Regions from separate parts of the Mus musculus genome. Here all the other regions are reported to be linked to region 4. The links are microRNA targets in miRTarBase. Many come from high-throughput screens and were not tested one by one. Region 4 holds a microRNA gene; each other region holds the end of a gene's coding sequence. Distances are from middle to middle.

Region 1 (4,068 bases), not on the chromosome of region 4:
AGATTTCCTGCATATTAGATATTCACATTATGATTCATAACAGTGACAAAATCACAGTTAGGGAGTAGCTGTGAAATAATTTTATGATTAGGGGTCACCAAACTCTGAGGAACTGTATTAGCCGGTTGCAGCATTAGGCCAGTTGAGAACCACTGTTAAATGATCAGCCTTCTAAACATGCACAAAGAAAGAGAAGCATTTTCGAAATCACAGGACCAAAACTAGATTAAGCTGATTCAGATGCTATTTTCTACAGTATAATCAGTGTAGTGATGGCTGATGGAGCCAAGAAATTAGTGTTGATGTATTTGTTCTACCAATAAAAAATATTCAGGTAAGAGTGGTGTTATAAGTGACTGTTATGCTGTCCTGTGTCCTTTCTAGGCTGTACAAGCTCTGCGAGCCACCACCTCCAGTAGGAGAAGAATGAGCATTCCACGTGCCATGGGACAGATGCTTCCAGATGCTGCCCAAATTAACATTCTCCACCGAAGACAAAGAGATGCAAATTAAAGATTTAAAGTTTTCCCATGATGTAAATAACTGATGTTTGGTTTGGACATTTATGCTGGAACTAGAAGTTCCTTCAGACAGTTCAGCCTTACACTCTATACATTAAGAATACAGATTCACATTAGGGCAAAATTCACTTCTCGTATTTGTAGAAAAATATACAGAGATAAAAGATTAACTATTTTGGTTCCTTTCTCATTCATTAATTATATTGTATTTGTGTTTAGCTTCCCCAATGGACAGATATTATACTTGATAGTTTTTCTTGAAGAAGTCTGTCCTAAAAATGATGACCACACTCTGGAAACAATCATACAGAAACGTTAAGGACAGTGTAGATGAGGAGTTACAGGTGTCCCATATACCACTTGAGTCACCAAGAAAGGCGCATATGAGAGGTAGGGAAGTACCTGCCTCCCTTTCTTCTTGGGCTTCCTGGTAACAAAGAGAGCTCAGAGGTTCTGGCAAGACTTTTTCCCTTTTGTTATGTCTAGTCTCTGGTCTTGTAAACACTCCAGTAGGCAGGTGCTTTTCTTGATCTTTCCAATGAGCCATGAGTGCTGCGTGATGGACCACTGATGGCGGTGGGTAGGAAGTTGCTAGGTTGGAGAGAGAGGAGTGAATGAGGATGGAAAATAATACATGTATTGACCACTCACCCCTTGCCAGAGAAAGATAAATTCTTAATTATATGAAGTCTTACTATGAAATGTCAGACTGTTAAAATAACACACCTTCCTGAGAATTTTTCTATCAAGTTATATGTGTAAGATATGAAAATAGATTTATTTGTTGTACTTCAAAAGGTCATTAGAGAAAAACTTTGATAATTTATGGAACCAAGGTATAGACTGTATTCATTCTAAAGTATATGCAATATTTATCACTTCTGTGTTAATATACTAAAATTATTTTAGCACATAAATATATTAATATTGGTTTTAAATATATATCTTTACAAATAATTAAAACAGCATCACTGTGATTATGATAGTTGTGCTTTGTTTAATGACAGGAATAAATTGTGCCTTTAGGTGATATTATCATCGTATAAATGTCATGGGGTGTACTTACACAAGCTGAGATGACTGTGGCCTCAGACACTATGACCTATGGAACCACTTCCTATAGGCTGTGCATCACTGGCCCAAAGACCTCTAACAGCACAGAACTGTGTGTGGATATGGGCTAAGCACATGAATTCCTTACTTTAACTACAGGTTTGGCAAACCATTATTCAGCTTTACTTTATAAATCTCATAATGAATTTCAGACTATCATTAAAAGCTATCATTACTGCCAGTGATATATTGAATTTAAAAGTGTGCTTCAAAGGTATGGGATACATATATCCTACAAGTTAAGAGTGAAAATTATTCATCACAGAGTACATAAGATTTTTCAGTAAATCTATTTGTGACTAATCATAGAGAAACCAACATTAGTTTCTAAAAAAAAGCCTTAGCATTTTGAATTTAATAAAGATATGACCTACGTTTGCATATATGTGACATACATCCATAACTTTCAGGATTAATATTTTTGCTATCATCAGCATATAAGTGTGAAGCTCTGGTAGTTCAGGCTGCCTTCTCTGAAAGTCTTGAGCGTAAGGAGAGCTGATTGCCCGACTAGGCAGACCCTTCACACTGCTTTACTCTTCTGTGTTCACCAGCCTCACTAAGTCTCCATAGAGGAACAGAAGGGCTACGAAGCAAGCTTATTTTATTTTTTCTCATTAAACTTGTTTTAATGGTCTCAAAATTCTGTGACAGATTTTTGGTCAAGTTGTTTCCATTAAAAAAATACTGATTTTGAAAACTAATAACTTAAAACTGCCATACACACACACACACACACACACACACACACACACACACACACACACACACACAAATGGTCCACAAAACATTCTTTCCTTCTGAAGGTTTTATGATTATATTGCCTGGGCATATTATCTGCTTTTTCAGTATTTATAAATTAGTGTATTTTAAGGATCCAGTCTATATAACAGAATGTGGTTAATGTTATCATTTTTGTTAAACATATTATTTGTGTACACAGCACTTACAAACTATAAAGCTTGCTAGTGTTTTATAGTAACGTCTATCACTGTCATATTTTTTCATAGTAAAATCATAGCTGACATGGTTTAGTGTATTCTAAATGGCACCTTTAATTACCTAGCCCACGTTTTGATATTCCTCCTTCACATAGCCTTGTAGCAGGGATGAAAGCTGACCTTGTCTTATTACCTGTACTTCACAGTTCTGCTAAGCAAATACTAACCCAGTGACTTGCACAAGTCCACTTGATGAACATGGGGGAGTCCGAAGTTAATGGTTAAAACCTGTCTTAAGGATTGCACTGCCTTTATCTGTTGTATGAGTACCATTATAATATTAATAATTATTTTCTGACTAAAGTTGGAGTTTTATGACATGTATTGTCATTTAATTTATATGGAAGATGTTGCAAAGTCCAGTGGGAATATGCAGAATGCCTTTAAAGTGCAAGAACTATTTTCTTGGCATTTTCCATTCATAACTGAAGAGGATCCACATGTATTGCAAGCCAGGAGTAGGACATTATATAAAATTTGACTATAATTTTAAAAGTGTTAACACTTAAAAACCTTTGATAGATGAGTAATCATTTTCAATACCATAATATACACATTCTTTTGACATTGGAATTTTACAGGCCTTGGGAGTTTAGAACTTTAATGTTGCACTATCCTCTGCAACTGGGGATTATTGATAAGCTAAGGAAAACACTGCTTACTGTTCTTACAACTTCTATATGTGGACATAGATTCCTGTCTACCCATTGAGAGATTTCAGATCTTATGGGGACAGAATCATATTTACTATCTTACAGATTTTCTCATTCGTTTTAAACATTACAAATTTAATTTTGTAAAAATATGAGAATTTAAGGGCTGAAAATATGAGAGAAAGACAGACAGAGGATGACAATTTCTGGTCCAGGTTTACTTGGCAGAATATGTAAATGCTGGGTTTCTACTGCATGCTCTCTCCTGGAAACCAGAATCCTCATCTTTAGGAGCATGCTACTTTCTTTCCTTTTAACAGAAGTTTTCTGATGTCTTCAATCCCCTGTGTATTCATTTGGCTCCTCTTCTTGCTACAAGATGTTCAATTAAACAGGAAGGTAGAGCTGGGAATGTGGCACAGTGGTTGAGTGCTTGCCTAGCACATGTGAAGCCATGTTAAAATATATTGGCTCTCCTTTAAACCAATGGTGGCTCACACCTGTAATCCCAGTACTTGGAGAGTCAGTAGGATTTTCAGGAGTTCAAGGGAAGCTTGAGATAAATATGAATGTGAGGCCAGTCTAAACTACAGTGGGAGACATGGCCCATGAAGGAAACAAAGATACTACAGTGTGTGTTACATGGGGTTGGTGCTATTTCTGGCTCTATTAATTTTAACTTTGAATAGCTCAATTCAGAAAGAAATGAAGTTGATCCTATGTTAACTTTAATGGTGAAGAAAATCAATGAGAAAGAAATTCAAGAGGAAGTATTAGCTA
Region 2 (4,068 bases), not on the chromosome of region 4:
GGTAAAACACCTGCCTCCATCTCAAGGACAGAATTCAATCCCCAGAACCCTGGGTTCACATGTAGTCCTAGCACTGGGCAGGCAGAGACACTTGGGTCCCTGGGACTCTCTAGCCAGCCTAGCTTAATGGCAGGTTCCAGGTTCTGTCCCCAAAAACAGGTGGATGGCACCTGAGGAATGACACCCAAGATTGCCACCTGACGATATTCATTTTCTCTCTCTGTCTCTCTCTCTCTCTCTCTCTGTGTGTGTGTGTGTGTGTGTGTGTGTGTGTGTGTGTGTGTGTCATATGATCTCTTAGAATAGGGGTCTGAGGGTTTGGAGGACAAGGGGCCATGGAATATGTCCTATGGTGAAGCAGGAGCAGACCTAATTAGATCGACTTTCCGGCTTTACAATACTCTTACTCCTTTCGCAGCCCCTTCTCTTTCCTTCTTTCTTTTTAAAGGCAGCAAACAATGAGACAAGGTCTCATGTTGTCCAAGCTGGCTTCAGACTCTCTAAATACCTCAGGCTGGCCTCTAACTTCTGCTCCTCTGGCTCCCAGATGCTGGGATTCCTGCCACGCCCAACCTTGGCCTTCTTTATTTTCTGTGCTCCATTGCTTATTTTACTTATTCCACCCATGTTTTTGTGTTTCAATGAGGTGGCCCGAGACACAGATGGGACAGGAAATTATCTGCTTCTCACCCATAAACACGTAGCCCAGCTGTCTCCATACTGCAGCTACCGAAACCGCAGGACTCCAGCCCAGCCACCCACGTGGGTGCTGTACCACAGCTTCTCCATCTCGAAAGACAACTGCCTTTGCATTGTCTCTGAGATCCAGCCTGAGATGTGAGTTTCCCTCACTCATACAGGGCCCTTCTTCTCCCAGGGCCAGGAACCAAACTGGGGAGTGAGATGTAGGAAGAGGGTTGGTGGAAGCAGGGCGGGGAGTGAGGGGCAGGGGAAGGCACAGATGATCCCATCCTGACTTTCTCTGTCAGGCTGGTGGAGCTCGCCCCTCCATACTTCCTGAGTAACTTGCCCCCCAGTGAGAGCAGAGACCTCTTGAACCAGCTGAGAGAAGGAACAGCAGAGCCACCAGCAGCAGCGACTGAAACTTCCTCTCCCCAGGAGTATGGAGATGGCTGTGTTCTGCAGTGAGCTAACTGCCTAAGGAATGGAGCCAAACCTCATCAGAGAGCGCCAAGGCAGTCAGACTTAGAGACCCAAAGTGTAGGGTCAGATATACTCCTGGAACCCAAGAGCCAAGAACTGTTAGGAGTGGGGGAAGAGAGCGCCACAGTTCAGAACAAGCATACTTTTCTTCTCTGTCCATGGACATGGGAGCAGATGCCACTCACCCCACCCATGCGGCGCCTCACACAACCTTGTCTCCTTGGTGAGACTATAAAAGACTTTGGTGGGGGGTGGAGAGATGGCTCAGGGGTTAAGAGCACTCACTGACTGCTCTTCCAGAGGTCATGAGTTCAATTCCCAGCAACCACATGGTGGCTCATGACCATCTGTAATTGGATCCAGTACCCTCTTCTGGTGTGTCAGCTACAGTGTGCTCATATACATTAAATAAATAAATCTTTTTTTTTTTTTTTTTTTTTTTTGGTTTTACGAGACAGGGTTTCTCTGTGTAGCCCTGGCTGTCCTGGAACTCACTCTGTAGACCAGGTTAGCCTCGAACTCAGAAATTCACCTGCCTCTGCCTCCCAAGTGCTGGGATTAAAGGCATGTGCCACCATGCCCATCTAAATAAATCTTTTTTTTAAAAAATGATTTTTCTATGATGCCAAGTTTGATTTTTAGTTCTGTAGTGCCATATACAACATCCATGAGTCAGAGGTGACACAAAAGGAAAGGCCGACTTCTGCAGGTGCAGCCTCCTGCCTGCCTCCGCCCAAGCCTCTGTGCTGCTATATCTGTCCCTAGCACAGAGCATCCGTGACCTGGCTACCACAGGTCTGTGTCCCGTCACAGTGTTCTAGCCTCTGCCAGGAACAAGAGGGGGACAGTGGAGTGAGGCGAAATCTCCCTGTTAAGCCAGAGAGCTTTGTAACCATCCTCCACTTAACCAAAAGCCTGCGCCCTCTGACTCACCTACAGTCTGCAGTCTCTCTAATTTTTCATTATAGTTTGTGTGTGTGTGTGTACACCCACAACACATGTGCAGTGGTCAGAGGATAGTTTGTAGAAATCAGTTTTCTTCCACAAACTTGCCCCTAGGGCTCAAACTCAGATTGTCAGGATTACTGCAAGTGCCATCTCCTAAGAACATTCCAACTTAAAGCCGCCATCCTTCACTTCTCCCTAACTCTTTCCCTTCTGCCCTTAGTCTACTCGAATTTCTGAATCCACCACCATCCTGCACATCATAAATGTGTTTGTAGAATACTGTGGAAAGAAAGGCTCAATCCATGTAACTCCCCAGAGTTCCCTGTGCCTTCCCGCCTTTACCAGGAGATCTTAGACCCAAAATTTCATCTGTCTCCACCCCCTGTGATGTCATGGAGATTCCCCCAAAGGCAGGCATTAGCATTTTTTTCTCTCTCTCTAAATCTAACATTAGTTTTGCCTACTGTTAATCTTGCCCCCAGTTTCCCCTTCCTGGCCTACACATCTCCAGTCTTAAGGTCATCTTTGGTTCTTCTTAGGTTTGCTAGTCCCAAAGCATGTCTCTTGCTCACTCTAACACTGGGCCCATGAATTCTCCACCGGCTCCCCATCTTGGCTCTCTGACCCTGCATGGCACGGGAGTCAGGTTCTCTTTCTAGAGTGTATCTTCTGGGTATATAAGAATCTATCTTACCTATAGCATAAGTGCGTTAAAACTCAAGATGGAGAGTCCGCAGATTGGGCAGGAGACAACTGGAGACTGAGGCTAGAAGGAATCCTTAGTTATTGTTTTACAGATGAGGGACGAGGTCCCTGTCACAGTAGGCCACATTCTCTACTGCCAGCGCCTCTTCCATTACCCCTCCCCCGCTGTCCTTTGATATCTGCCTTTACACCAGCTCTGTGGTCCCTTCCCAGCAGGACCTGAGCTCTGAGCCCACTCAGGGCAAAGTCGCAGCCTTGCAGGGTCCCTGCTTCATCCACAATCCTGCAGGTTGCTCTTGCAACCCACATCTCAGCGGGGTTTTTTTTTTTAAACAAAACAAAACAAAACCTTGAAGGGCGGAGTCAGAGTGTGGGCCAGGGGCCACTGATGACCAAAGAGCCTCAGAGGACGGCCGCGGGCCGCGGGCCTTCTGCTCCTCACTCTTCGCTGGCGGTACGGCACCCGGCCACGTTGGCGCTCGTCGGGCAGGTGTCGGTCACACCACCGAGGCGAGCCCGGACACCGAAGCCACCTTGTTGTCTTCCGCCCAGGGCTGCAGATTCTGCAGCGCGAAGAGCGACGAGTTGTGCAGGCAAAGCGGGTCCGGTGGCAGCGGTGGCCGCAGCGGCCGGGGCAGCGCGTCTTGCTGCAGGTGCAGCAGCAGGCGACCAGCGCGGTGCCGCTCGGCCTCGCGCTCCTCCGCGGTCTGGCGCCTGGGCGAGCGGAGAGCCGGGGTCAGCGGGCGTCCCGGTCCTACCCCGCCACTCGGCCCGCCCGCGCCCCGCGCCTCACCGCCACTTGGTGCGTCGGTTCTGGAACCAGGTCTTGACCTGCGCGTCCGTCATGCGCAGGGCCTTGGCCAGCGCCGCCCTCTCTGCGGAGGCCAGGTACTTCTGGCGCAAGAAGCGGCGCTCCAGCTCCAGCACCTGCGAGCGGGAAAAGGAGGTGCGCGGCTTCTTGCGCTTCGGGGGGGTCCGGTTTTGGTAGGGATGGCCTATGCGACGTGTCCCAGAGAAGGGCGAGAGCGCAGCTACGGGACGGAAGAGCAGGGCAATGTTTGGGGGTAGTCCGAGGTGAGACTGAGAAGAGAGTCCCTAGTCCTTATCGGGGTTCCTCCCCCAACCACAGAAGCCTCATCAAGAAAGGGCTTAGGAAGAATCGGGGTCCTCCCAAACTTCACCCTGCCCCTCCTCGCCGTAGGCACGGTGGGACTGCAGAGGCAGGGGTGCATGCACCCGACGACAGCAGCT
Region 3 (4,068 bases), not on the chromosome of region 4:
CGGCTGAGCCCTGCTGCCATGAATGAGCAGGCCCTCAGGATTCGAGAGAGCCCAGCCAAGGGCCTGGGCAACCACATGGAGAGGGACATCAGATCTGCGCCCAGCTCTCTCCACCTCCCCCGAAAAGCCAGCAGGCCCCCTCGAGCCAGTACAGCTGGCACCTCACAAAGGACCATTCCTGGGGAACAGATTTCTTATGGCACCCTGCAGAGAGTGAAATACCACACCCTTTCCTTAGGTCGAAAGAAATCCTTACCTGAGTCCAGCTTCTGATGGAAACATTTCAGTGTTGTGTGAAGCCGCCATCCCTGGGGCTGTACACTGAGAATCTGTAGGCTCTTGTGTCCAGAGTGGATTTTCTAGAATCCAGTTGACTTGTGGCCTCCCCCCACCCCCCCAAAAAAGAAAAGTTTGGTCTCTGTAACTCTTGTCATATTCCAATAACCTGGTGTCAAAGTGGTTGGGTTCCCATTGCTGGGTTTTGATACAGCCTGGCCACTAGACGGTGCTGCTGAGCCCAAATTATCATGACAAGGCTAAAATTAGTGTTTGGTGTATGTAAGTCCAGGGCCTGCCATAGTCTACTAAAAAGACTCTGATGTCACGGCAGATACTCACTCTCACCAGCTTGTGTGCCCCTAGCTTACATGCCCTGCTTCTTTTCTTCTATTCTCCCTTCTTCCTCTCCCTCTTCCCCTCCCTCCCTCCTTTTTCCCATTCTTTCCTTTCATTTTTTTAAAAATAAAGGGCTTGTAAGAAAGATCTTTTCCTTTTCATGCTTGTCTTGGATAAGTGTCAAAGATGCCAAGAAAAGAAAAGAATAAGAGATAGAGTGTGGCAGTGGCGGTGAGAGATGGGAGCGTGACAGTGGCGGCGAGAGATGGGAGAGAAGAGACTGATATCTCAGGAAGATTACTTAATATATAGCAACAAAATTGTATTACAGCTTTTCACGGTATTTTAAAAAGATAACTATTTTGATATCAGAATAAAGAAGGTTTTTTTAAAAAAAATATGAGATCTATGCACAATTTTAATAAAAATTGTGTTTGTGAAACTTGCAAATGGCGGACTGAATTACTGAAATTTGAAAAGTGACTCACTTCATTCCTGTTACATTGCATAGTCAGTCACAGCTTGTTGCTATCTATCAGAATGCAGTTGCCTGTGTTGTTTCTGAAACTTGAGAGGGAAAAAAAAGCTCTTAATTAAAATTATTTGTGCCTCCATCCATCCTTTCCTTTCCTTCATTTAAAGATGTTTTAAATTTGTATATATTTTTGAGGCAAGAGTCTCACTCTGTAGCCCATACAAGTCTTGTACTCTTGGCAATCCTCCGGCCTCAACCTTCTGAAGGATGACAGGCATGAGCCACCGTGTCTAGCTTTTGACTTGCTGTTTCTGAAGGAGACTAAGGCCTCTTTCTCTCTCTGGAAGGAGCCAGCACCTATGAGTCTGAGGCTGCCTGGCTGACCTGGTGATCGCTGGTGTGCTGCTATGTATTTGCCTGCACTTAAGGACCTGGTCTAGGATTACCTTAGAGTTTCCTACAAAGACATTGCAAAGCCTAGACCCAGGACTGGGGCCAGCAGCAGCTCATTGGCAGCCTCTCAGGTAAACATTCTCTGGAGGGTGTTTCCTTTCTCACGGGATATTTCTTCAAGACTGCTGGCCACAGGAATGCAGTCGTCCCCCAGACCACCGTGTGCGTTGTTGCATGTCTCTACAGCTTTTTTTGTTTTGTTTTGTTTTGTTTTGTTTTGTTTTAAATCAGGAGGAATGGGATTCCTTCTTTTCCCCAGTGAGAAAGACAATTTGCCTTTCATCTAAGCAACAGTTGCAAGATAGAACTAACATAATCAAGAAGCTGGAAGACCCAACAATCAGACCCCCGGGGGGCTACAAGTTCCCTATCAGCCCACATTTCTTCAGTTCTTAAATTGTGATATGGAAGATGTGGCGGCTGATCATTTGCTCCTGGCTGACACCAAGCTCAGTCTCACTTTGTTCTCTAAAATTGAGTCGTAACTCAGGCTTGCACCCGGGCCTCTCTCTTGTAATGACCTAGACTCTGAGATTATGAGTGCCTCCCAGTTTTAAGAAAAAAAGAAAAAAAGATCTGTTACATTGTGTGTGTGTGTGTGTGTGTGTGTGTGTGTGTGTGTACACAATGGCACCTTTGTGCCACAGAGCACATGTGGACATCAGAGGACAACTTTATGGGAGCCAGTTCTTTCACCATGTGTGTCCCAGGGACTAGACCCACGTCATCAGGCCTTGGTGGCAATCACCTTTACCCACAGAGCATCCTTCTGGCCCTCATTATAATCCTCTGGGGTAGGTACTGTTAACTCTGCTTTACAGAAGAAGGAACTGAGGCACAGAGTTTAATCCACTTAAGGTCACACAGCTACTAAGTTACCAGAGCCAGGATTTTTGCTCACTGCCCACTCTAAAATAATCTGTTCAAACCAAATTAGGGCAGGCAAGCGCTTGGGGATGGTTTAGTAACCTGAGACTTGACTTGGTTTGGTTTATACACACATACACCAGCAGCAGCAGCACTCACCAATTTGATTGGCAGCTCAATTCCTTTCCAAGTACATAGACCCCTTTTTGAGCTATGTACCTGACAGCCTCAGACCCCCACCTAGCCGAGCTACACATACACCCATCTCTGCACAATGGGACAAGTTTCTCCTACTCTCACAGCAATAGAACATAAACAGTTTCTGTTCAGATGTATCCCCAATTTATCAGGAAAGAATGGAAAGGCTGATCCAGTTTGAACTGGTCTTGAGAACATATGGAAGCAAAACTGTCCTCAAGTGAAGTTAGAATTCCTACCATCTTAACCTGTGCCTACTTGGGGGTGCATATGATTAGAATCAGGTGCATTATGGGAAAAGACATGCACCACTAGGAAAATGATATCATGACATAATCTACCAATCAAAACAGAGAACCATTCATATTGGGCCTTTTAGCAACCATATTCTTCCTTTGAGCCCCATAAAAGGAAGCCTCAAGCAATAAGCAGGGCCTGTAAGTACTCTCCTGTGTTCTGCTGTTAATCTTGATAGTGCACTCCTGCCTAATCTGAGCTTCACTTTGAACTAAGTTGCTTGCTTTCACAAATAAGTGTAAGCCCTTATTCCAGTCCTTTGAATAAGAAGCCACTAAAGGAACCTGGGACCATCTGGCCCAGACCCCAGCCATGGGTTGCTTCTGGCCTTTCCTGCTCATCAGAATGGTGAATTGTTTTCCACTGGGGTAAAATCAACAGCTTGCCCCAGGGGCCCAGGTCTCAGGGGTATTCATTCCAGCAAGAAGTCGGCATCTGAAAAACTCCTTGTCACTGGGCTTGCTATTTGATTAAGTTTTGATAAATTCTCTAAATCTCACTTGTGCACGAAATTGGGGGACTGAGTGCAGACGTGATAGGAATAGGGCAGGTGGCAGGTTGTTTTCTGTGTCTGTGGCCTTGACTTTGTTCTTCCAGAGATGCAATTTTGCTTTGGTTCACTTTAGATCTTTGGCAGGATTGCTTAAGTGATGTCCCCGAACTTACCATAATTGACTGTAAACATCCCCAGGCCTCACTGGGTGGTAAATACTGCTTCAGGCTCTGTCGGGATAATAGGACATGAAATACACAAATTACTGCCGTTAAGCAACCTGTAGTAGTTGGAAAAGACAATGTAGTGGATGTAACCAAGGTAATTTCAAACTTCAAGTATTAATGGTATAAATATGTGGGTCACTTGGCATTGAGTGGCATTCTGCCACTCGCTGAGACCAAATGACTTCTCGGGATGTTGAAATAGCCTCAGGAGAGAACTAGTTTCCACTGGGGCCACTTGGCTGACAAAGCCTCCTAGGGTCTTGAATTCCTGTGAGTGTGGCCCAGGCAAAAAAAAACGATTTCTTATGGGAAAGGCTGGGGAAGGGGGAAGGAGATGTGGATGAATACAATAGCTCCTGCCAGCTTGTCATTGATTGATTGATTGATTGATTGATTGATTCATAGCTAATTGATTTTGGAACTTGGTCTGCCAACTAGGCTGG
Region 4 (4,068 bases):
TCAGAATCCTCTCTGTGGTTTGGTTGAATTTGCTGAACCCAAATCACCATATTTAACCCTTTAATTCCTCTTTCCTATATTTAGTATACCATTGTTTACGAATGCTTGGCTGATTGGATAGGAGTAACTTACACATGTGGAGACGTTGGTCAGATCTCTGTGCTCAGATATCTGTATGCCTTGGCTAGACTTAGGAGTAATCTGCTCCCGCCCTGGCTTCTGAAATGATGTCACAGCTTGAGCCTGGTTCTGCTTCTTTTCCATCTCCGCTCTTCTTACCTTAATATTCACATTTTTCATAACTTCCCATATTATTCAGGGAGACATTAAGTGTATAAGAAATACCAATTTTTTTAAAGATGCGGCTAAACTCGTGAGTGCTTACCAACACGTAAGTGTCCAAATATGAGATATGAAGAACAAATCTCGCCTTTTCATTCACTGCAAACTCTGCTGTGAACAAACAGTAAACACTCTCATGTGCAATGCCTTTCCTCTTTCTAGAAGTATCAGCTTTAATAGAAAGCTAATTAGGTAACAAAACCTTAAAAACTGTATTGTTATTGCTGGCGAAGGGGCATGAGCCCTGCTGCTGGTTGCTCTGTTCACTGTTTGAAAGATTCCTGCTAATATTTGATCAGGTGTGGGCTCTCAGTGGAAAGCAAAACCCTTTTAACCGCAGAACTCCAGCTGAAGTGTACGAACAACAGTAATACTTTTTTGATCATGTACCCCATAGAGTTTCAAATCCCTGACAGCAAGCGCAGTTTTTTTTTTTTTTACTGTTACCTGTTCATTTTACTAAACAATAAAATATGTGATATTAAGGCCCACACAAAGGCATTTCTTGGACATTGGATTATATAGATTATAATAAAAATTTTATAGTAAAGTTTTTAACTGACAGCATGCTAAAAATGTCCAGAAAAATAACATTAAAATCATGCTATGAAAATGATTTCCTAATCCAATTATTTATTTTAAAGGTTCACACATTTCTGCTCTGTAATTGAGAAATAAAAGATATGTTGGGAAGATAGAGAATATATAACTAAAATATATTAATTACAATGACATATACATTGATATTCCTAACTCATATATGTTCTAAGTATAGATAATTAGCCACAAAATTACCAAATATAGAAACAACATTGCACTGCAGAATTAACTAGGTTTTTTTTCCCCCATGGAGTGCATTTTATATGTATGGCACCTCCAATGATAAAGCTAAGATTTCTTCTTATGTCTTATGCTTGTAGTTTGCATATGGGTAATATAGGTGACCATTAATATTTTCAAATTATTTATTTGATTAAGATAAAAATAATCTTTATCATTCAAGGAAGTATCTAGATACAAATAGGCAAAGAATAGAAACTAGGTTTCTTTCCTTATCCAGCATAAGAAGTAATTCTGTATGGAGTGTCATTTAGTAAATAGTACTATGCATCACTGTTTTAAGTCAGAAATACAGCTCTACTTAACTGAGTTTACATGCATATTCAGAAATTTAATAGACCCTAATTTTACCAAAGAGAAGAGAGCCCTAGAATGGAAATTTCCTGTAGATACTTGATGCCCCAGGGAAGGGGGATGCCTGGAGTAGATCACCCACTCAGAGATGAAAGGGAGGAGGATGGGGGAAAGAACTCTGTGAGGGGGGACAGGGAGGGGGGTACAACATTTGAGATGTAAATAAATAAATAAATAAATAAATGAATAAATAAATAAATAATAAAAATTTTCACTATTCATATTATTTTCTATAAAGCAAACATGGAAAAAAAAAGAAAAATATTCCTTCTGTGGTCCTGATCTTTAAATATTTTCATGGTACAGATGTGACTGTGTATCTTACTCTGACCAAGCCAGATGAAATTCTCAACTGGAATAGCAGAGCTGTAATGTCCTTTATTGGAAATCAGTGGTTCATTTTATTATCTAGATTTCTTCTGAGACATCACCTAAGTATTTGAATGGCACAGAATATTTTAAAAGCTGTAGAAACAAGAGACATTAATGAAACCAGGAAATACTTTGTTAATATGAAGGCAACTTTCCAGAGAGTTAAACAAAACTTGAACAAATTTACTATTGAACCCAGTAGTTATAAAGTATATATATGTATAGCTAGCTATGATGGATAGGGCCATGTCTAAAATTAGAAGTTGATTGAAATAAAATGTAACCTTCCATTTTCTCCTCATTACATGTGAAGAGAATTTATTTGGTCAGCCATAAGAAAAAATAAGTTTATAACTGAAAATATAATTTATTATATATAATTAAACATCTGGTTTTTGTTATATTTCTCTGCAATACATATCTGAGTCTTAAAAGCCTATTTAAAAGCCTCATTGTTATATAATTCAGGACCTCCGAAGGGGCTACCTAGTGTCATCTGAGGTAGCTTCAGCTGTGGCTAGAGATACACTTCAAAGATGGAGCCTTCATTCACATTATAGGTGACTAACTTCTCTGACTAGTGGCCGGTCTGTCTCTCTCTTCATATGACAACTCATTCACTTGAGCTTTTCTATGTGGTGTGAAGTTTTCATAGCATGGTAAGTTCAATATGGTTGCCTTTGTTATATGTGTGAGCAGAAAAAAAAATCATGACCAGTATTTTTTCCTGTATTTCACTGTGGGACATTATCAGATTCAAGGAGGTGGAGGGGGAAGGATATGTTTCATGACGCCTCTACTGTCATTATCATGGTTCATAAATCACAAATCTAAAGAGTGCTTATTTACTGAGAAGCAGCGTTTATCATAGCAAATAAATGGAATGAGCCCAATCAGTTATCAGTAATGAAGAGAGGAAATGATGGTTTTCTAAGGACGGAGTCTTTTTTTTTTTTTTCTCATTAAACTTGTTTTAATGGTCTCAAATTCTGTGACAGATTTTTGGTCAAGTTGTTTCCATTAAAAAGTACTGATTTTGAAAACTAATAACTTAAAACTGCCACACACAAAAAAAAATGGTCCACAACATTCTTTCCTTCTGAAGGTTTTATGATGCATTGTTATCATTAACCAGTCTTTTACTTTTATTAAACTTAAATGGCCAATTGAGACAAACAGTTCTGAGGGACGGAGTCTTAAGCAGCTGAAGGAGGTGGTGGAGGAATCTCCTAGCAAGAGCAAGTTAGGTCACACAGTATTCCCTTGAAGAAATTATTGGACCTGTGGTCCTTTCCTCTTTCTTCTGTACATCCTGGCCATTGTGAGGTAAACCTATTTTTGTCTGCCACATGACTCCAATCATCATATATGATGTTACCACAGGCCAGTGGTGCCTCAACCATGAGAACCATCAGTGGGGCCATTCAACTCTGAGTGACATCAGTGAAACTTTCCAATGATGAGACGCATCAATGGATCCTCCCAACAACTAAGGAGATATTATTGGAGTCACTAGATGGATGGAACCAGTATAGTAAAACCATCAGACTATAAGAAGCGTCTTTTGAAACCAGAGGCCAAAAGAAACTCCTCCACCTTTTCAGTGAATTATCTTCAATGTTTCGTTCCAGTAGTGAAAAGCTGCCTCATACCTTTTCCAGCCTAAAGAGCTTTAAAACAGTCTCTGACCACTCGCTACAGTATGTACCCTAAGGCAAAAAGATCTGCAAAAAAATCGAACACTGTTTTCAATAAGTACATTATTCTCTTTGGAAACATTAGTAGTTTTATTTTGAGATATTTGTGGTAAATCATTGAGTTGCTCTGTTGTTATCTGTGGACTTTAGGACTTTGATACTTAGGAAAGGAGTCTGTGGTTGTCATGAGGGGGCATCTCACATGGAGAGTACAGCTGCTCCCTTAGCCCATCAGATCCTGAAACCCACAGTGTGTTTGCAGGGAGGCCACATCTTCCACAGGTTTCTGTGTCTAGTGGCTGGGTGTAATGGGATGTTCTATTACCTTTTGGGGGGGAACACCTACTCCTTATTGTCTGTGTTTGGATGAAGGTCTCCTACGTGACTTTGCTGAAGATTCTGTGGCACGTTGCCACCTCTGTCTTTATCTGTCTCTTTCCCTCCTTTTTGCTTTGTTGAGACA
Region 5 (4,068 bases), 47 Mb from region 4:
GGATATAAAATAGTCATAGCTATAGTTAAGCAAACATGCTACATCCTCTGTAGAATGACTAGCTCCAGAACACATACATGCTTTTTTTCTTCCCAGCTGAAACTGAACCCCATGAGGGAAAGAGGAAAGTGGAATCTCTGTGGCCCATCTTCAGGATCCATCACCAGAAAACCCGCTATATCTTCGACCTCTTTTACAAGAGGAAAGCCATAAGCAGAGGTAAATGGCTAAATTTCTTGACCTTTAAAAAAACTGTTACTGTGTGTCCATACTTATGGAGGCAAGCATGTGTTTTGACTTCCGTGTGAAGGTTGTAGGACAACCTGCAGTTTTGGTTCTCTTTGCCATGTGGGTCTGGGGGATCCAATTCAGGTCATTAGACCTATCTAGAAAGCATTCTTGGTCCCTGGGCCATCTTGCCTCTTGGCTCTTTTGTACTTGAGTGGCTTTCAGGATTTATACAGTAGTTTATAAAAAGCTGGGTCTGGTGGCACATGCCTTTAATCTTAGCACTCAGGAGGCAGAGGCAGGCTGATCTCTATGTGTCCTACTTCCAGGACAGTCAGGACTACACAGGAACCCTTGTCTTAAAAAACTAGAAGACGAGGAAGAGGAGGATGAGAGAAAAGAAAGGGAACAAAAGCCAAGTGTCATGGTTCAGACCTATACTTACACACTTGGGAAGCAGAGGCAGAGGACTAGGGAGTTCCAGCTAACCCTTGACTGTAATGTGTTGTGGTAAATCTCCAACCCAAATAAGCCCATGCAAGGAAAACACAACTCAATACGAATACAAGCTTCGTGCCTAGACTGGGCAGATCTACTCCTACACTGCTACAGCTATGAGATCCCTCTTAACTTGTGATTTCTCTTGGCCACGTGCTGCTGCTCCATTTTCCTTCTACCTCGTCCTCCACTTCAGTGTTCCTCTCTCCTTCCTCTCCTCTTTCTCCCCCTCACTTTTTTTTCCCTCTCCCCCCAAAATTTTTTAGCTCCACTTCCCCTCCACTGCCCAATCACCGGCTCTAGTCTTTATTTTACAAGTTAAAATGGGGAGAAGGCTCACATGAAGTCACCCGAGTAATGATTCACTCCACGTCCCAGGCAGCCCTCTTGGGGAAACAGAATTAGCATCAAAATACAAATAGCACTAGGGAAATCCACAGCAGTAGTGGGAGATCGTGGCTCCAGAAATGGAAATTAAAGCAATGATTATCTTTGCAAACCCATCAGTCATCAGTTTTCTTACCATGAAAGCTGAAGTCATTTGTGTGTGTTGGTGTTGTTATTTTTGAAATAAGGCTACACTCTGTAGCCCGGGCTGACATGGAATTTATTATATACAGACTGACCTCACACTCACAATGCCCTACCTGCCTCTGCTCATTTCTGGGATTATTGGCTTTTGTTGCTGTTTTTAAGTTTTGTTTTTTGAGACAGGGTTTATGTAGTCATAGTTGTTCTAGAACTCAATTTATAGATCAGCCTGACCTCGAACTAGAGATTGTTCTGCCTCTGTCTCCCAAGTGCTGGGATCAAAGGCTCATGCCGTCATACTCAGCCTAACTTTTCCTTTCAGTCCAAGGTGAAGGCAGGTTTGTTACGCCATGTTCTGATGTCTGTCCCCAACTTTCTGACAGAACTCTATGAATACTGCATTAAAGAAGGCTATGCAGACAAAAACCTGATTGCAAAGTGGAAGAAGCAGGGCTATGAGAACCTATGCTGCCTACGCTGCATTCAGACTCGGGACACCAACTTTGGCACCAACTGCATTTGCCGGGTTCCCAAAAGCAAGCTGGAAGTGGTAATGCCCAGCGGTTGGATGGGGGTTACTTTCTGTTTAAAACTTTGTCTTAGTTGACCATGAGGGTATTTTGAGAAGTAGTTTCATCACTAGAACCCTTCTAGCCACCCTTCTCAAAAGTGAGTCCTGACCAGGGATCCTTTTAAGGTGGTATCTGGGGCTGGTCTCAGTACTGTCAGTGGGCGAGTAACTGCAGCAGACCTCACTCCTTAGGGAGTAGTGATGGCAGTGGCTCTCAAGTGACAGGAGGGCTATGCTTTGAGGCTGGCTGTCAGGTGACCTATCTATCCCTCGAGTCTCACAGGCACATTCATCTCTGCATGCCTTCTGCTTTGTTCCATAGCCAGGACTTGGGAGGTGGAGGCCAGCCTGGGCTAGTACTGAGGTCCTGCTTCAGAAGAAAAAGTGCTTTCAAGGGCAGGCCAGGCACCCACAAGCAGTAGCTGGGCTCCAGTCTCCACATCATTGAAATGGAGAGCCAGACGGAGGTCAGAACAGACAGTCCATCCTTTGACTTTGTGTCCTCTCAGTACACTGAAGCAAGTCTTAATTCCCAGAGTTTTCATTGAGTGCAGATGGCCTCAGCTCAGCAGGTAGCTCTGTCCTCGGTATCAAGGGTGGAGCTCTGTATGATGTGCTGAGCCATGGCTCGTGGGCAATAGCTGCTTCCCAAGAAGCTCTTGGTGTCCCAGCCTGTGGTTGAGGTTTAACTGAGATTCAGGGCTGGAATGTTGCCTGAGGTGGTAGATGGCCCCCTAGAATGCGTGAAGCCCTAGAAGCCCTAGGTTCCATCTCCAGTGCCCCATAGAGCCAGATGTGCAAGTGTACATCTGTCATTCTAGCATTCAGCAGCTGTTGGCAGGACCAGAAAATTAGGGTCATCCTATATATGAGACGCACTCAGTTAAAACTAACAGAACGTTACCAGAGAACTTTATTTGTTTAGAATGGGCTCGTGGCCTCCAGAAAAGGAGGTAAAGACAGCATTGCTCCAGGACCCCCATCCCCACCCAGTGGCCTCAGGAACTCTGGCTTTCGCCCTCTTGGCAGTGACAAGTGTGTCTTGTTACAGCAATCACACACAGACACTAACTTCCGCCTGGTAGTAACTGTTCCACGTCACAAAGGAGCTGAGACGCCCAAGTAGAAGTGTCCAGTAGAGATGCTCTGCAAGGGAGTGTGCAGGGCTGTAGCAGTGTGTTCAAATGTTCTTCTTCTGTTTCAGGGTCGCATCATCGAGTGCACACACTGTGGCTGCCGGGGTTGCTCTGGCTGACACCCTTGACTCCTCTGCATCCTGGTCTTTGGACCTTGGACTTAAGACTTATTGGGCCACTGCCTGAAGCAACTCTTCTCAGAGTGGTGCTCAGAGAAAAGACCCAGGGGGGGAAGCATGAGCTGTACAGGTGACGACTTTAGTGTTCACCAGCTGAGATCTGTAAAAATAAAACCTTTAGACCTCCTCGCTACATTCTTTCTTTTAAGAGTGCCAGGGGATGGGCTTAGTCCTGGCTCTGTGTTGTAGATGCTGTGTGACCATGATCGTTGTCAGGATGCTTTGGCCTGGTGTGGGACCTGCTATGATCTGGGCACCCTGAGCCCAGCATTTGCCTGTAAAGTGCTGTGGTGCCTCTGGAATATTCTTGGCCTCTGAAGTTGAAAGGACTCCCAGGCTCCCCCAGCAGTGTGAAGGCTGGGCACTTGTCATAGCCGCGTGCTCCGTCATCCGTCCCTAAGGCCGCCAGCCTTGTCAGTGGTGTCTTGGTCCCCAACAGGCTTGTTCTGGAACTCCTGCCAGGGGTGGGGGGCTTCCTCTGCTGGCATGGCTTTCAACCACTGCTTGTAATAAGCCCGAAAGCCATCAATCTTCTCCAAGTAGGTGTTTTTTCCTTTGTACTATAATTAGAGATGCACAGGACTGTCAGTGTGAGTGAGATACAGGCACAGAAGCCTCACTGTGAAACCCATAGCTTTGTACAATGAACACAGGATATGCTAAGAAAGCAGAGCTTTCAGAAATGTTTTCAGCCAATCTAAGCTACTGCATATCACCCAAAATTATCCCAAGTCACAGCAGCTGACCACTGTCCTTCCTTCCCTCAAGGAGACTACCAAATAATTTGTCATTAGATTCATTGCTGTAAAGGGCCAAGTTCTGGAAAATCTGTTATTTGGGAATAGGCCATACCACTCTTTGCCTAACAGCCGTCTAGCCTGAGAACACTATAGTGTGCCTAAGCCATGGAAGTCACCTTAGCCCC
Region 6 (4,068 bases), not on the chromosome of region 4:
GAAGCTGTGTAGCTCCTGTAGTCCACTCTCTCACCTGTGCAGACTAGTCTCTGAGGGATCTGGGACCCAAGATGGCTCCCTGACCTGGTCAGGCCGAGCCCTCCCAGGCAGATACCTCTCCTCTGGCTGGGAAGGTGCCTGGATGTCTGGATCCTGAAATGGGGTCTGTCCCAGAAGCTGTGTTGCTTCTGCAGTCCGCTAGCTCACCCTTAGCAGTCTGTGAGCTGACCTGTGCCAACTGATCTCTGATGGAACCGGGACCCAAGATGGCTCCCTCCCCTGCTCTGAAAGCACCCTCCCACTTGATTTTTGTTCTTAATGGCATTAATTTATTTTCTTCATTATCTGAGATTTAGGTGTCTTCCTTGTAAACAGAATAAGCGAATGTAAGACCCCTTTGTAGTGGAGTATTTCATCCAGAACCCATGGATTTGTAGGAATTGAATGACATGTATTTTGCCATTTCTTTTGTTTTTCAGGGTCAATGGTGCCATTAGCAACTTTGAAGAATTTCAGAAAGCTTTTAACTGTCCACGAAATTCCACTATGAACAGAGGTGCAGATTCCTGCCGACTCTGGTAGCTGGAGTGCTGGTTTCTGCCTTCCTGGCATAGCTGAGGAATGCCAGTAGAGGACGCATTAACATACTTAGCACCTACTGCTTTCTGCCTATATTTCCTTGAAGACTTTTATTTTTAATGCATTTTCATTATTTGGGTAGATGATTTGCTTCGATCTAAACAGTATCTGTTCAAAGTCATTGGGTTTATAAAAGGAATTCAAGAACTGAGCCAAATACTTTTCTTTTCTTTTCTTTTCTTTTCTTTTCTTTTCTTTTCTTTTCTTTTCCTTTCCTTTCCTTTCCTTTCCTTTCCTTTCCTTTCTTTTCTTTCTTTCTTTCTTTTTTTTAAAGAAAGCCAAACCAATGAAAAAAAAGTGTCAAGGCTATTTGGTTAAACTGCTCCTGGCGATGTCCCTATTATCCATTTCTGTTAACCACAGCTCGGTGGTACATGACATTTCAATCTACAGCTTTGCAGGGGGCCTGAGTAGAGTGTATCCATAGAAAGGATCAGTCAATGAAAATTGTCACCCTCAATGATAAAGACGTGTGCCCTATGGTGTACAGTTATTACACAACATTTCTTAATTCTAAGGTAGTTAAATTAGAAATGTGTTGGATCTTCATTTTATAATTTCTTTTCTTTTTTTCAATTTTTATTAGATATTTTGTTCATTTACATTTAAAATGTTATCCTGAAAGTCTCCTATACCCTCCCCTCACCCTGCTCCCCTAACCACCCACTCCCACTTCTTGGCCTTGGCGTTCACCTGTACTGGGGCATATAAAGTTTGCAAGACCAAGGGGCCTCTCTTCCCAATGATGGCCGACTAGGAAGTTTTTCTCTTCAGGTTTGGAGTCTATTGGACAATTGTATCTCAGAACTTCCATCCGATGTAGCTAACTGCCCTGTTTAAGTAAGCATGAACAAACATGGCATAAAGGTGAAGGATTTGGGTCTATAAAACAGGGAAAAAACCAATACGTCTTTAACTGCCAGCAGCATTAAAAACTATTAACAACAACCAATCACACAACAATAAAGATAGTAGGAAATGAACTCTGCAAACGTTGATCCAGTCCCTCTGTATGATGGTGAGCATCTGTCTGATGGATAGCAGTCAAGGAGCAGTTCTGATTTTGTTTTGTTCTGCTCAGCTGTGTTTATTTCCTGACTGAATTGAGTAGACACTGAGGAAAGAATGTTTTGTTTCCATGTCAGGAACATATGGCTTTCATTTCCTTTTAGCATAATGATATAAACGCCACGCTGAGGAGGGGGCAAGATGCTCTTCTGTCTCAGCCCACTTAATGTTAACTCTCCTTAAAAGAAAATCTTTGCAAAAGCTTCTAGAATGAAAGCATTTGGTATATCTGAATCCAATTTAAGCAATCCTACCTAGATCTAAAGGACATAGCTTTACTCTTCACATCTTATGAAAGGTTTATTTTTTTTTCTAAAAGCAGTACTGTATTTTGATCTTTAGAACATTATTTTTTTAATCAACACCTATAGTGTTAATTAACTTAGTGTTAGTGTGTATTTATGTAGGGCATTTTTATCACATTTAAGAGTATATGTAGGATAAAATTGTAATGGCATTGAAGTGGTGAGTACTTCTTGTTTTTTTTTTTAAATATTTTTAATCTAGTATAGGCATTTTCCTACCCCCAACACATTATTCATTGTACATGGCGTGCTGGTTAAGTGGGCCAATAGAAAATTTTCAAAAGCAAAATGACAAATTCAGATGAACCACAGGAGGTCAATTTTGCATCCTTGTGACTTGTCATTCTTTTATAAAAGAAATGTAAGTGTGAACCATATCCTTTTGTAACCATGGGAACTTCCAAAGAGAGAAAAATGGAAGGACATCATCATAAGGAAAACAATTACACTGCATTAGTCTGAGGAGAGTGATTTTCCCCTTGACTTCCTCCTCTCCGAATGGATACACTTCTGAAGGGCAGCAGCCTTTTCTTCCTCTTATCCATGGTTTAAAGTGACCTTGGCTTGTATTTCTAAACACAAACAGCATCATGTGAGGTGTTAGAAATATATGTGCCTTTTCTCTGGTGTAGCCATTCTGATTTGTCAATACTCATTTTTATTCCTGAACACCGAAGTTTGCCAGGCTTATATAAATAGTGCATTCCTTCTAAGTTTCCTTTTTAACAATTCCAAGCAAACACATTCCTGCAGGTCAGAGAGTGTGTTTGAGAAGACTATAGATTTATGACTTTGGAAATGGTATTGGTTTATTGGTTAAGGACGACTGGTTAGTGATTAGAGTTCTCCCAGTTTCTGGATGACAGGATTAGTAACTAAGTATTTTGATCAACTTGGATTTTCAAGAGATACAAAATTACTCTTAGTAGCCACACACATTTTCTACAAGTGCTAGCTTTTTAAGTGTTTTGGTTAAACCCTTCAAACTACAATATTGTTCTCTGTGCAGCTTGATTTCCTAAAGAGACACTGATTAAATGGTAGAGAAAGTCAGACATAATTGAAGAATGGAAGAAAAGCAGGGGGAGCTAGCCTAAGGAAAACAAGACAGCATCTTTTTTGCTCCTTGATATACATGTTCACTGGAGGAGAACCAAAAAGTCTTTAAAAATAATTATGGTAAATCAAAGGGAAATTAAATATTGGATCTCAGACTAGGGCTACAGCAACACACTGCTCTGACTCATATAGCAGCTGTTCTGCAAGTGGATTATTAACTGGGCATTTGAAGGAGTTTTTCTTTTTTAATGTGTGTGGAATTCTCTTTTGTGAGTCAAGGACTCTGTAGATTTAAAGCTGTGTTGTTTGGCCTTACTACCGTTGTCCAAAGTTTGCTGAGTTTTTCACCAAATACTCAGTATAGGCCTCCTATTCCTGCCTCACTCTCTTTTATTAGATGGATTGGGGCATGACTGCTGTAAGATCAGATTTCATAAATTATCCTCAAGCTTATTTAGTGCCTTACGTCAATGGAGCTTAAAGCATAGCCCATAAATTTTATCTTATTTAGCCCTAGAGCATCACTAAGAAGAAACTAGGAACTAAGGCTCAGCAGACAGAGAGTGCTCATGCCAAGAGAAATGGGAAAGCTTAGAATTGCTTGTCCAAGATCTCAGGGCATGGAAGGACAGGTTTTGTGCTTCGGGATACTGATCTTTGGATTAACTTGCATCTCTTAGAGTATCTTCTTTTCTAATATGTTTATTCCACCAGCATTTCTAAAATTGCTTATCATTTGGTAGCCACTGCCTTTGATATTTTTAGCATAATGTCACAGTACATCTTAAATTGTGGAAAACTGCATGATTGTTCCATGGAATAACATCTTTATCACTAGTGGCAATGCTTTATTGGTTTTAAGAAAGATGTTCTTGTACTGTGCAGTTTAAAAACAATCTATGTCATTACTATCAGACTGGTTTGGTTGTGATTTTTTTCCTTTGTGAAGCAATGAGAATCATTATTTTAAGGACAATAAAACATTTGTTGAAGGTTT
Region 7 (4,068 bases), not on the chromosome of region 4:
TTGAGCCCTGCCCAGTGTGAGTCCTGAGAAGCGAGCTCAGTTCCTTTGTGAGAGCAGTATGTGCTCTTAACTGCTTACATCATCTCTTCAGCTCTAACTGTAATGATTGGAAACCTTTTTCTAGTTCCTCTACTAGACATTAAGCTATCTGCAAGAACATCAGGGAGTAGGTGATGGCTTGTTACTATCAGAGTTTCTGTAGCCCAGAGAAACCTGGAACTTGCAATCCTCCTGCCTCAGTAACTGGAATTACATAGCACTTTGGGATTTACAGGTCTGTGTCACGGTGCTCAACTTATTCACAAAGCCTTCTTCTTTTGTATTTTTTGTTTATCTGTTTTTTGAAACAGAGTCTCTCTTTTTTAAAAAAGATTTATTTATTTATTATATGTAAGTACACTGTAGCTGTCTTCAGACACACCAGAAGAGGGCATCATATGTTATTACAGATGGTTGTGAGCCACCATGTGGTTGCTGGGATTTGAACTCATGACCTTTGGAAGAGCAGTCAGCGCTCTTACCTGCTGAGCCATCTCTCCAGCCCTTTTTTGTTTTTTGGTTTTTTTTTCGAGACAGGGTTTCTCTGTGTAGCCCTGGCTGTCCTGGAACTCACTTTGTAGACCAGGTTGCCCTTGAACTCAGAAATCTGCCTGCCTCTGCCTCCTGAATGCTGGTATTAAAGGCGTGTGCCACAGAGTCTCATGTTGCCCAGAATAGCCTTGAACTTACAATGTAGTTGCGGCCAGCCTTGAGCCTCTGGCCTTCTGCTTTAATGTCTCAGTGCTGGGAATAGACATGCCATTATATCCAGCATCCATCTTCTTCAAGCATGGAGCATCTGCCCTGCTGCCTATGCCGAGGCGCTAGTCTATGAATTGTTTGGCTTCCAGTTTGGCTTGGAGCAGGAGCTTGCCCAGTGAAGAGCTCCTCCCAGGGACCTTCCAAAAAAAAGGTGAGGAGAGAGAACAGTCAAGGCTCGGCCTGAGCTAGTAGGCATCCCTCACTGTGTGCCTGCGAGTTGGACCCTGGAGCCTCTGTTAGAGAGGAGTCTTGAACTCTAGGAAAAAGAGCAGGAACTTGGGGAATGGAGATAGAACTGTGGTCCCAGCAGACCTGACACAACTGAATTTGACCAAGCTGCTCATCTTGGGGCCTCAGTTTCTCTAGCTGTGTGATGGTAGAACTGTAACGTGGGCAGAAATGTTCTCATGAGATGGACCATTCCTTCCGGCTGACCTAGTCAGAGCATGCATACGTAGGTATGTATGGGCGTACATATGTATGTATGTATTCTTGAAATAGAGCCTTACATAGCTGGCTAGCCTCAAAGTTGCTATGAGCTGAAGCTGGCCTTTTAGGGTTGGGATTATAGACACGTACTGCCACCGTTGTTTGCCTTTCCATTTTATGTGAATGAGTGTTTGGTCTACATGTGTATCTGTCCCCAGCAGAGAGTGCTGGATCGATCCCCTGGAACTGGAGTAACAGGCAGTTGGGAGCCCCCATGTGGGTAGTGGGAATTGAACCCAGGTCCTCTGTAGAAGCAGCTCTTAACTCTTGTTTCTCCACCCTTGCTACGGTGTTGCTAGGGTTTAAGTGCCTTAGGCTGGAATTGAACTTAATGTGTAGCTGAGGGTGGCCTGGTACCTCATGTTCCTCTGGCTTCTGCCTCTCCAACACAGAGAATGCAGGCGTGTACGGCCCCAGCTCAGAGCTTCCCTTGACGCTGCCTCTGCTCTTGCGATGAGCTTCCTCCCTTCCTAAGCCCCTGCAGTTCCAGTGTCCAGTTGCGAACACCAGCTCTCCAATGCGACCACCTCCCAAATGTGGGCCACTGATCCCAAGGACATAAGGCAAGGTCCAGAAGGTTGAGCTCCAGGGTAGGAAACAAACAAACAAACAGGAAAAGTCATTGTCCAGGAGACTGAGGACAGGTTTTGGAAACAGATGTTCCAGGTTTGAATACTATCTTGTATTTCTAGCTGTATGACCTCAGCAGTTTTCTCATACATTTAAGGTGGAGACCAGATAGCCTGTGCCATCCATCCTAGCTAGGCATGTACCCTTAGCACAATGTAGCCCAGAGGAAACACAGTGGAAGGCAGCTATTGCTGTGAAGGGAACTTGCATGGTACAAACATGTTCTGCATGCCTAAGCCCTGATCTGGCTACTGTGGACAAGCTGTGGGGACCTTCAAACTAAGAGGAGTATCCTGGTTCTCGTCCCTGGATAGGGAGGTTCTTGCAAGTTGATGTCCAGGATTTGGTCCAAGGGATACTAATTTCCCAGATGCATTATGGGTCCCACTATTCTGGCTCAACTCCACACTATGCAAATGCACAGACACAAGCATTTATCCAAAAAAACCATTTTTTTTTTATTGAGTAGGGTTGGGGACTGAACAGGAATGCACTGGGGGCCATAACCCGATTGGCAGAGGGGTGGGGGTACTGGCTCTTGTCCCGCCTCCTCTCGGGCACCTCAGGGTAAGGCCTGGCCCCCAGGCCATGGCTGTGGCGCTGAAAGCCAGGCTGGAGTGAGAGATGGGGGTGCATTTTACAATCCCGACTGCCTTGTCGGTTTGCAATTCCCCCAAATGGCCACCAGAGGGAAGCCGGGCCTCAGCGCAGAGGAATTCTCGGTTGCTCAGGTGATGGCTTCTTAAAAAAATAAAAAACCAGAGGCTGGTGTGTTCTCCCTGCAAACCCGAGCAGTGCGGGCCTGGGGAGGAGGCTCTGGTTTCTATGATTTCTCTGATAAAAAATAAGCAAAAATAACAAAATACGTGGTTTCTCTTTTTCCATCCCGCCCCCTTCGGAAACTGAGGTCAGAAATGGGGTCATGGAGGCTGAGGATACCCTGATATGAGCTAGATTTCTAGGTGTAGGTCTCTTTTTTCCCCCTTACCACCCATAAGCAAATTTATAAATAAATAAATAATAAATAAATAAATAAACCTTCTCTGTATGTCCACATATATAGAGATAAATCTTTCTCTCATCTAGGCAACTAAGTGATTAACCTCTGACTCTGGAGCTTCGAAATTCAAAAGCGACATGATCAAGGTCAAGTTTCTGGGAAGGAAGATCAAGGACTTGGAATGGTACTGTAAAATTCCCAGCCTTCTGGAACTGCAAACCACTTGGGCTGTGAGACATTTCCGAGTGGGACCCTGACCATCTGGAACATTCTAGAGCCACGCGGTCAGCTGGGGTGGGCCCCCCGCAGGAATCTTGAATAAGATCCTAAAACACCCAACGTCCTAGAACTCCAGAACCAGCTGGGTCTTAAGGGCGTGGAGCTGGGGATTGGAATTAAGCCCTGGTGGACCTAACACTCTGGAGTTCTATAGTAGTCAAAGCCACAGGTTCACCAGGATGAAACTAGACATCACTAGGGGACCGGGACCGGAATGGAATCTTGGAAGTGGAACAGCAGCAGCAGATGGCCCACAGCACCTTCTGCACATCTTGGTTGCGAAAGGCGTAGATGACAGGGTTGATCATGGAGTTGTAGGTGGCTGGGAGCAGGGTAAGATAGGTGTAGAGACGGGGAGAGTCGGCATCTCCCAGGAGGCAGTAGACAGTGAAGGGCAACCAACAGGCAGCAAAGGCGCCAAGCACCACAGCCAATGTGGCGATGCCCTTGCGGGTGGCCACGTAGTGAGAGGCAGGCAGCAGGTGTCGTTGGAGGGCGATCTGCTGGGCATGGCGGCAGACGATGCGGCAGATCTGGGCATAGAGCTGCAACATGATGCCAAACACCATGAAGAAGGCGATGGCCAGAACCACCAGATGGTTCTTGGAGAGTGGATAGACCACACCACACGTGGTCAGGCCATCCCGGCAGTTCCAGGCCAGCACGGGAACCAGCCCCAGGCCCAGGGCACCCACCCACACCAAGGCCAGCATCACATAAGTCCGAGTTACCGTTGTCTCTGAGTAGTAAGTGAGAGCATTGTACAGGGAAAGGTAGCGGTCAACGGTAATGGCCAGCAGGCTGCCGATGCTGGCAGTGAAGGCCATTGCTAGCACGCCGACCAGCATCAAGCTCATCTCTGGTGAGCC

What was found. Region 4 holds the annotated microRNA mmu-miR-703 (AAAACCUUCAGAAGGAAAGAA, at 2,998-3,018, opposite strand). A microRNA usually pairs through its seed, bases 2 to 8, with sites in the 3' UTR of a target mRNA and lowers its output. Matches are read on the target gene's strand: a 7mer-m8 pairs with bases 2 to 8, a 7mer-A1 pairs with bases 2 to 7 and ends in A, and an 8mer does both.
Region 1: the mRNA of Prex2 is a reported target of mmu-miR-703. Seed matches in the 3' UTR shown: 7mer-m8 at 2,438-2,444 and 7mer-A1 at 3,502-3,508.
Region 2: the mRNA of Tlx2 is a reported target of mmu-miR-703. Seed matches in the 3' UTR shown: 7mer-m8 at 3,163-3,169.
Region 3: the mRNA of Usp43 is a reported target of mmu-miR-703. Seed matches in the 3' UTR shown: 7mer-m8 at 995-1,001.
Region 5: miRTarBase lists Ptcd1 as a target of mmu-miR-703. Seed matches in the 3' UTR shown: 7mer-m8 at 3,255-3,261.
Region 6: miRTarBase lists Phex as a target of mmu-miR-703. Seed matches in the 3' UTR shown: 8mer at 2,003-2,010.
Region 7: the mRNA of Gpr3 is a reported target of mmu-miR-703. Seed matches in the 3' UTR shown: 8mer at 2,954-2,961.

The regions. Positions count from the first base shown.
Region 1 is chr1:11,297,324-11,301,391 of GRCm38, forward strand. It overlaps Prex2 (phosphatidylinositol-3,4,5-trisphosphate-dependent Rac exchange factor 2), which reads left to right. Exons shown (of 40, transcript NM_029525.1): 40 at 385-4,068. The coding sequence ends at 430. Among named protein-coding and RNA genes, the nearest start is that of A830018L16Rik, 110 kb to the right of the region's middle.
Region 2 is chr6:83,065,444-83,069,511 of GRCm38, forward strand. It overlaps Tlx2 (T cell leukemia, homeobox 2), which reads right to left. Exons shown (of 3, transcript NM_009392.2): 2 at 3,611-3,848; 3 at 2,882-3,531. The coding sequence ends at 3,315. Dqx1 (DEAQ RNA-dependent ATPase) reads left to right here. Exons shown (of 12, transcript NM_033606.3): 11 at 647-837; 12 at 990-1,776. The coding sequence ends at 1,149. Among named protein-coding and RNA genes, the nearest start is that of Tlx2, 2.7 kb to the right of the region's middle.
Region 3 is chr11:67,851,686-67,855,753 of GRCm38, reverse strand. It overlaps Usp43 (ubiquitin specific peptidase 43), which reads left to right. Exons shown (of 15, transcript NM_173754.4): 15 at 1-1,231. The coding sequence ends at 273. Among named protein-coding and RNA genes, the nearest start is that of Gm40032, 9.2 kb to the right of the region's middle.
Region 4 is chr5:98,472,619-98,476,686 of GRCm38, forward strand. It overlaps Mir703 (microRNA 703), which reads right to left and starts at 3,046; the gene lies at 2,938-3,046. All of the region lies in intron 2 of Cfap299 (cilia and flagella associated protein 299), which reads left to right.
Region 5 is chr5:145,144,803-145,148,870 of GRCm38, forward strand. It overlaps Ptcd1 (pentatricopeptide repeat domain 1), which reads right to left. Exons shown (of 9, transcript NM_133735.2): 9 at 2,576-3,703. The coding sequence ends at 3,530. Bud31 (BUD31 homolog) reads left to right here. Exons shown (of 6, transcript NM_001310771.1): 4 at 97-219; 5 at 1,641-1,807; 6 at 3,033-3,276. The coding sequence ends at 3,083. Among named protein-coding and RNA genes, the nearest start is that of Bud31, 6.5 kb to the left of the region's middle.
Region 6 is chrX:157,162,074-157,166,141 of GRCm38, reverse strand. Phex (phosphate regulating endopeptidase homolog, X-linked) reads left to right here. Exons shown (of 22, transcript NM_011077.2): 22 at 480-4,067. The coding sequence ends at 582. Among named protein-coding and RNA genes, the nearest start is that of Gm52451, 97 kb to the left of the region's middle.
Region 7 is chr4:133,206,983-133,211,050 of GRCm38, forward strand. It overlaps Gpr3 (G-protein coupled receptor 3), which reads right to left. Exons shown (of 2, transcript NM_008154.3): 2 at 2,358-4,068. The coding sequence ends at 3,385. Among named protein-coding and RNA genes, the nearest start is that of Gpr3, 3.5 kb to the right of the region's middle.